2 linked regions of the Macaca fascicularis genome follow. The protein of the gene in region 1 interacts with the protein of each later gene in a pairwise test. Links are inferred from orthologs where the notes say so. Each region holds a gene or a part of one and is shown in the gene's direction. Other genes may lie near its edges. The genes, in order: SETDB2 and ARL14EP.

The links.
Region 2: the proteins of SETDB2 (region 1) and ARL14EP interact in binary tests that used the Homo sapiens proteins (3 or more experiments, as listed by UniProt). The two-hybrid records come from large-scale screens. The link is inferred for Macaca fascicularis from reciprocal best matches to the Homo sapiens genes SETDB2 and ARL14EP.

Annotation. Positions count from the first base shown.
Region 1 is NC_088391.1:28,603,722-28,608,321, forward strand, and holds the start of SETDB2 (histone-lysine N-methyltransferase SETDB2), read left to right. Parts: upstream 1-1,542; 5' UTR 1,543-1,570; intron 1,571-1,592; exon of another isoform or gene 1,593-2,053; 5' UTR 2,054-2,183; intron 2,184-4,600. UniProt on the Homo sapiens protein: Histone methyltransferase involved in left-right axis specification in early development and mitosis. Specifically trimethylates 'Lys-9' of histone H3 (H3K9me3).
Region 2 is NC_088388.1:35,223,642-35,227,460, reverse strand, and holds part of ARL14EP (ARL14 effector protein), read left to right. Parts: intron 1-1,513; 5' UTR 1,514-1,578; coding exon 1,579-2,004; intron 2,005-3,412; coding exon 3,413-3,540; intron 3,541-3,819.

The DNA of each region.
Region 1 (4,600 bases):
GTTGAAGCAGGAGAATCGCTTGAACCAGGGAGGGAGAGGTTGCAGTGAGCCAAGATTGCACCATTACACTTTGCACTCCAGCCTGGGCGACAAAAACAAACAAACAAATATCAATTATTTTGCTGTTTGTTTTGTTGTTTGGTATTCCTGATGGGAGATGTCTTTACCATGTATTGTTGATTCGGTTGTTCATCAGTTAATGCTGAATAACTGAAATCTAAGCTCAAGGCAATAATATATTGGCTTTCTTTTCATGCAAGTCAAACTGCTAAAATCTACCACAAAATATTAGCCTTTCATCAGCTTGCTCTTCAGATCCAACACATTTTCCCCTCAAATGAAAGACAATGCATGCCGTCCATTACAATGCTAAAAAAAAAAAAAAAAAAAAAAAAAAAAGGGAGGAAGGAAAACGAGGTTAAGTCCTGTCTTCTTCCTCCCACCCAGAAAGAGCTCAGAAATTAAGGTGCTTTCCCTAACAAAGCTTCCTCCTGCTCCATGAAGTGACCAAGCACGTCATGGCAGACCCAGAGATTTATAATATATCGTTATCGCGGAAATCAAGATTTGACAAAATTCTTCCTTCACGTCCCGTTTCCGCCAAGACCACCACTTTCTAGCTTAAAATGAAGGGAAAAAAAAAAAAAAAAAAAAAGACAGCTGTAGGAATGCTTGAATGCCCGCTAAAGAACAATCTTGCCCAAACGCAAAACTTGACCCCCACTATTACCAAAGGATGGTCTCAAAGAGTAACCCTCGCGAAGAGCAAACAGTTTAGCAGCCGCTCCCTCGAAAATGACGGAAGAGGAGGTCTCTTTTGAACCTGAGAATAGTAGTGAGGCACTCCCCTTCCATTACTAGCTTTGCTTCTTTCTCAATCAGGCAGTTCATCAGCTAGCCTCCTTTGTCAAAGGGGGTTGATGGCCAGAATCTTTGTGAGACAAAGATTACTAAAGAGCTCCCCGGAACCAAGGCGTGAATGTTAAGGCATCAAAGACACCGCCCAGCCCCCACAACGACCAACAAACCAAAACCTGGGATCCCTACTATTACCACCACCACAACCACCACCACAACTACCACCACCACCACTCCTCGCTCTCTCTAGCCAGGGATGAGACTCAGGCCCAGGAAGGAAACCCATCCTCTCCGCAAGTGAGAAGGCGCTGGGTCTCCTCCCTTAGGCCTCTCCTCTACCCCAGTGTTCTCTCTGGACCCCTCCACTACGGCGAGACGCTATATAAGTTTTCAACCCCCAAGAAGCCCAGTCCCAGCCACACACAAGATGGCAGCCCCACACCTACCGGAGGAAACAGCTGCGCCACCACTCCAGTGATGCCGGCCTCTCGACTACGAGTAACTCCATTGGCCCAGCGAGAGAGCGCGAGACAAGCCGAGAGCGCTAGCAGCCAATCGAGAGGCGGCGCGCTCGGGCGCCACTGCGGTGCCAGCGGTAAGCGCGCCGAGTCTCTGAGGCGTGAACCAGTAGGGAGTGCGACCAATCAATGGGCTCCAGGCTGGGTGGTGGGACGGCCGGCGTCCGACTCCTCCCATGTAGTGATCGCTTTAGGTGGGTCGGCCTGGTCCCCGGCGGAGGTTCCGCCGTGCCTTATCCCGGGTGGAGGCGAGGCGGGACTGTTGTGGTTGAGATGAAGGCTAGTAAATGGTGAAGTACTTCCCGGCCAGAGGGCACCTGCGCTCGGGAGGTCTGGGCGGCTTGGCGTCAGAGGAGAGTCCCACCCGCGGAGGAACCCAGCCTCGCCAACGGAGCTGGCAGAGATCACTCCCCAGGTCAGGCGGGCAGCGTAGAAAACGCAGTGGAGCCAGGTGAAACCGAGGCACCGCGGTGGGTGACCCCCGACAGTTCCTCTAGCCGGGCGGTTCGGAGGACCTGACAACGCCGCGGAGCCCTCGGCCGCCCGAACAGGGACTGGACCCTAGCCCTTGCAGCCTCCCTTCTCCTGGCACCCAAGTACAGTCCTGGCTGCAGAAGGGGCCGCGGGCGCATTGAATTCTCAACCTCCATTTCATTCAGCCTGTCTGTCTGTCTCAGGGTGCAGCCTTTATGAGGTGATTCCTAAGCTGCTGGGAACGTGAGGCTGTCAAAGGGGCGGCAGGAAATGGACAGCAGTATAAAACCCAGAAGCAGAACTTGAAGGTTTAACCACTAGCCCATTTCACAGGTAAGATTACACGAGCCCTTAAATACAGCAAGTTCAGTCATTCATCCAAGATAACTGAGTTCAGATTAGATAGTAACACTTCTAACTCGCTATCAGCCGCAGCCCAATAAGTAATTAAGTAAGGAAAGATATGTAACTAACTGTGCTCTTTGGCATGTGGAAAGCTGCAGTGAGCTCTGTAAATATTAACGCATGAGGCCAAAGAGAGGAGTAACTTTGAAAAGGTCAAATGGAGTAACCAAAGCATAGGCTCTGAAACCATGCTGCTTGGTTCCTTATTTTGTGTCTGCCACTTATGGTATGACATGCCTTAGCTTCCTCATCAGCAAACGAGCTGCCAATGTAACCCACATGACTGTTAGGGGGATTAAATAAGAACACGTGAAATACTTAGAAGCGTGACTAACCCGTGGTTCTGTCGTTATAATTAAAACGTAAGGAGCCGATAGGAAATGGTCAGTGTGTTTTTAAGGCCTATTTTTAGAAACGAAGAGGGACCATACATTGAAGCAAAGCAGACTGGCTTAGTTATTATGCCAAAATGAAAAAGAAGGGGAAAAAAGTTTTTTAAGCCCATTTACTCTCTGAAATATTAACACCAGTTGTCTCTGGATGATGGGATGGTGTTTAAATTTTCTCTTTCATACTTTATTGTATTTTGCAGATTTTCTCCAGGAAACATGTTTCACTTTTGCGCGTTCAGTTGTTTTCAAATTTTCAGGTGTGAACGCTGCTGAGAGCTGCTTAAAAACAAAGATACGGGCCGGCGCGGTTGCTCAGGCCTGTAATCCCCACACTTTGGGAGGTTGAGGCGGGCGGATCACCTCGGGTCAGGAGTTCAAGACCAGCCTGGCCAACATGGTGAAACCCCGTCTCTACTAAAAATACAAAAATTAGCCAGGCGTGTGGTGGCGGGCCCGTGTAATCCCAGCTACTCGGGAGGCTGAGGCAGGAGAATCGATTGAACCCGGGAGGCGGAGGCTGCATTGAGATCACGTCACTGCACCCCAGCCTGGGTGACAGAGCGAGACTCCGTCTCAAAAAAAACAAAGCTATGGCCATGCACGGTGGCTCACATCTGTAATCCCATCACTTTGGGAGGCCGGCGGGGCAGATCGCTTGAGTCCAGAATTCAGGACCAACCTGGGCAATATAATGAGACCTCATGTCTAAAAAAAAAGTAAAATAAAACTATTACTGAATGTGCTTAAGTGGAAGTATAAATTGGTAGAACCTTTCTGGAAGAGAGTTTGACAATATGCTATAAAAAGCTTTAAAATGAACAATTCCTTTTTGAACATTTATATATACTTAATTTTTAAAAATTAAGTACACTTTTATTACAAAATTGATACCTTGTAGATAAAGAGCACAATCCAGATTTTGACCTTGAGTTTTTTCTTGCCTGTCAAGGTTATATTTATCTCGTAGAAACAGTTGAGTAGCTTCCCGTATTTTTCCTGCTTGGAAGTTCCTATATAATAAAAATTCTCTGTTCTTTGAAAGTTTTGTAGAAGGAATGTTCCCTCACTCCTCTCCCTCCCTACTCCTGCTGGAGACTTTGGTACAGAGCTGTCAAGTGTTTTTTAATACTTACACCTTTTAATACTGTTACATATTCTATATAGGTGAATATATACGTTTGTATTTTTTTAGTGGAAAAATACCATACTACATCATTCTGTAGCTTTATTTCTTGACATTGGTTTTGCAGTCTGTACATGTTATTTATAGGTCATTATGTTATTTATGGATCGTTTCTTTTAGCTGCTGCATAGTGTATGACTCAATTGATCTGTTAATATAAAATATTTCTCTTTGTCTCTTTTACTGGTCTTTTTGTTAAATCCTATTTTGTTTGATGTGTGCTGTATAGCACATTTTATTGCCATTCTCTTGAGAACATTAGGTTTCCAGTTTTTTGCCATACAACAATGCTGCAAGGAAAATCTTTGTGTTTTCTTGTGCACATGTACTATTTGTTAAGGATATTATACGTAAAAGTGGAATTGCTTGGTTTTAAGCTGTGAGCTTTTTTAGTTTTAATAGGTCTTGCTAAATTTCCTCCAAAATACCTGTACTAAATTACACGTTCCACAGGTAGTTTATGAGAGTTAAGTTTGTCTACAGTTTCCTCCCACAAGAAGTATTTTCTGTTGGGTGCAGGGTTCTATACATTTTTTGGATTAAGCTTGTTAATTGTCATTTAAATCCTTTATACCCTGATTTTTTGCCCACTTTATCTGTCAGTTTCTTGATTTGTTACTTTCTTATCAAATTGTGGATATGTGCATTTTCCTTTTATTTAAATTTTGCTCTATATATTTCAGAGTGATGTTATTTGTACATAAAGGTTCATGAATATTAAATCTTACAGTGAATTGTTCTGTCAACATTGATTTTGAAAATATGATATT
Region 2 (3,819 bases), on another chromosome or scaffold:
TATTTGTCATCTTTCACTGCCAAAGGCAGTGAATGCTGAAAGTTTTCATATATAACTTGTGCTCGTATTGGAGATATTTTTCTCCAGCTGACGCCCAGAACTGAAAAGAGGTCAGTCCCAAGGTATATGCTTCCTCAGTTTTACAAGAAATTGCAGAAAAGGTTCTAAAGCAGTTGCAGCAATTTACATTCCTACCAAAGTTATTATAAGGAGCATGTAAGGGTTGGACACATCTTAACCAGATATCAGATTTTTAAATTGATTTCAAGCAAATGTTTAAGAAATGATACTTAATTTGCATTTTCCTAGGAACTATGAGGGAAACAGTTTGTATGCTGTTCTCTTTCTCTGTGAATTGCCTAACTATATTTGTTTAGTTTTCCAATGGACTCTGTCATTTTCTAATTGATTTTTTAAAGTGAGGGGTTACTCGAATATTTACAATAATAATCCTAACAACACCTTTCAAGTGTCATTTTTTTCTCCTTTAGTTATACAGAAATGTGTAAATTTTACATATAATCAAATGTATCCATCTTTTTATTTTTTTTGGTACCTGCTTGCTTGTTTGAATAATTCTTCCCTACTCCCATGTCAGAAAATCTTCTTTATTTTCTCATAAAATGTTTAGTTTTTCTTTTCATGTTTAATTCTTTAATCCACCTGTAATTGATTTTTGTTTGTGCAGAAGAGATCTAATCCTTTTTCCATATGGTTAACTGGTTAAAGTCCCTTCTTCATTAGTGTGTGATACCCATTGATTAATAGTACCACATGTCATATACCAAGCCCTCTTCTACTCATGGATCTGTTTGTTTATACTATACCAATACCATAGTTTCAATTAGAATAGGTTTATAGTAAATCAATATGTTACTGTATTTTCCTTCATGATTACCTTGGCTTTCTTAGACCTTTACTCTTTGATATAGGCCAGCTTGCTAAATTCCAGTGGGGTGGGAGTAGAATATCTGATGGAACTTTGATTGGAATAAAACTGAATTTACAGATGTATTCCTGGATAATTGACAGATTTTTTATAATGAGGCACTCCATGATATATAGCTGCATTTATTTAGGGTACCTTTTTTGTCTTTCAGTTTGATAATTTTCTCCATGAAGGACTTGTTACATATTTTTTGTAAGAGTCACATATTTTGTAAGATACAGTGTTTTTCGGTTTCTAGCATCCCTGGTGAATTCTCTTATTAGTTCTAATGGTTTGTTAAACCTCTTGTATTTCTCATGTATCTTTGGATAATATTTCTTATTTCCTCCTTTTTAATTCTTATATAGTCTTAAATATAATCTGTAATTGCAGGTGTTCTCGCCAAGTTCTGACTTTTCAGGGAATGCTTCTGTTTGATTATTAAATGTCTATTATAGGACTTTGGTAAATACCTTTTTTATTCCTTATTTTCTTTTAGACAGGTGTTGAATTTTATCAAATACATTTTCAGTTTCCTAGATAAACTTGCAGCACAAATTTGATTCTCTTTAATATTTTCTCTAGGGTGATCAGCCCATGACCTAGACCTCTAGACAAAATAAAACAGGGAAAATTTGCTAGAATCAAGAATGATGGATCCATGTTCAGTTGGAGTCCAGCTTCGTACTACAAATGAGTGCCATAAAACCTACTATACTCGTCACACAGGTTTTAAGACTTTGCAAGAATTGTCATCAAATGATATGCTTTTACTTCAACTTAGAACTGGAATGACACTTTCTGGGAACAATACAATTTGCTTTCATCATGTAAAAATTTACATTGACAGATTTGAGGATTTACAGAAGTCGTGTTGTGACCCATTTAACATACACAAAAAATTAGCCAAAAAAAATTTGCATGTAATTGACTTAGATGATGCCACTTTTCTGAGTGCAAAATTCGGAAGACAGCTTGTACCTGGTTGGAAGCTTTGTCCAAAATGCACACAGATAATCAATGGAAGTGTGGATGTTGATACTGAAGACCGCCAGAAAAGGAAACCTGAGTCAGATGTATGTATAATATTCATTTTTTTCTATGTGAATTCTACCATGTAGGATTTTGCTTAACTATAAGAAAATCATATTTACAGTATTACTATATTTGCTAGGATACAGTGAATTAAAAGGAGGGGGTGAAAGTGGATGATGTGTCTAAATATTATTCACATACACTGAAGGTCAAGACTGGGGGATAAAGAAAGTAGGCTTGGGAAAGGAATAATAAAATATGCCTGAGACTCCAAGCTACAACTTTTAGTACGAAGACTTTAGGAGTGGGTTTCAGAACATTCCGGCCAAGCCAAAATTTTGTTTCTTTTCTGATACCAAAGTGACTACATGGGACATAGCAAACAGCAAGTGTCTTTGAAGCAGGATGAATTTGCCTTTATATGAAGGACCTGGAAATCACCGCTTTAAAAGGAACATTAGAGAGATGACTTATAGTAATTGTTTTTTATTTCACTCTTTCTTTCTCCTTTGACACTATCCCATTCTTGAGTTTTTTAAATGCTTGTGAGTTTTCTTTGCTTCTAGCTCTGAATTCCTACTTGGTATGGTCAAGGCTGATTTTAGGACTCGTCGTGGTAAAAAAATAATAATAATAAATTTTTACATTGTAAAGTATTAAATATTTTTCCTCTATTCCTTATTGACATGCCTACATGCATATTTAACCGTATCAGAACAACTTAAGATTTCGTAAAGCTATCTTTTGTGTAGGACAAGCATGCCAAGGAAGCACTTCTCATAATTTTTACTTGTAATTATTTCATAATTCTTACCTCTGGAATATTTTTCTCCTTTTTATTAAACCAAGTTAAAAGATAGTTGAAATTTGAAATTATACTATTTTCCTGTTGTTCTCTTCTGAGAGGAACATCTTGAGGGCCCAGTTTATCTGCAGTTCATACTAGATACTTGCTGATGATGTCACTGTGGATGTCTTCACCTTATCTATCCAATGTTCTTGTAGAATATATCAGCTGCAGCTCTTTCCTCCCCAAATAACAAACATAAACCCTTAAACAACAAGAAATCCTTAAGGACCCAGGATTGTTAGGAAATCAGTTATGTGCCACTGGATTATACAGCAGTTTTTGTGCCTTCTTGCCTGTGTTGGCAGCAGCCATTAGCGGTTTTCACAATGCCTTCCTCCTCTGCTCCTAATATACCAGAGACTAAAATCAAATAATGAAAATGTTACTAATACATTAACCAATACACTTTGAATATGATCTAGGGCCGTGTAAACTTTCTTGCACTTAGGCTCTAAAACCTAAGTGCAAGAAAACCTTGTTTTCTTTTTTGTATGTTCCAGACTGCCTTCCAGGTTAGGAAGTCATCTGGTTTAACATTAAATGAAATGTTATTGTCTGATGTCTAGATTTGAGTTGATAATTTGTTTACCTTTCTTCAGGGAAGAACTGCTAAAGCTTTGAGGTCACTACAATTTACAAATCCAGGAAGGCAAACTGAATTTGCTCCGGAAACTGGTAAAAGAGAAAAAAGAAGGCTTACAAAAAATGCAACCGCTGGTTCAGACAGGTAGGCTAAGTGTTATTGAAGACATGTTAACTTGCTGCTTCACATCTGCATTGTTCCCCTATTTTTCTCTTAAATTTTGAATTTTCTGGGTTCATATTTTAAATTGGATAATATGGAATTAGTAAAAACCTATGAAGGCCTTTGTTTTTACTCATATAAAATTAAGGTATCCCTTTCAATTCCAAAAATTTGTTTCTAAGAAGGTAGCAGTGAACTGAAGCAAATCATTTTGGCATGAGAGTTAAAATAATTACAATTAAAGTAATTCACTTATTTGAA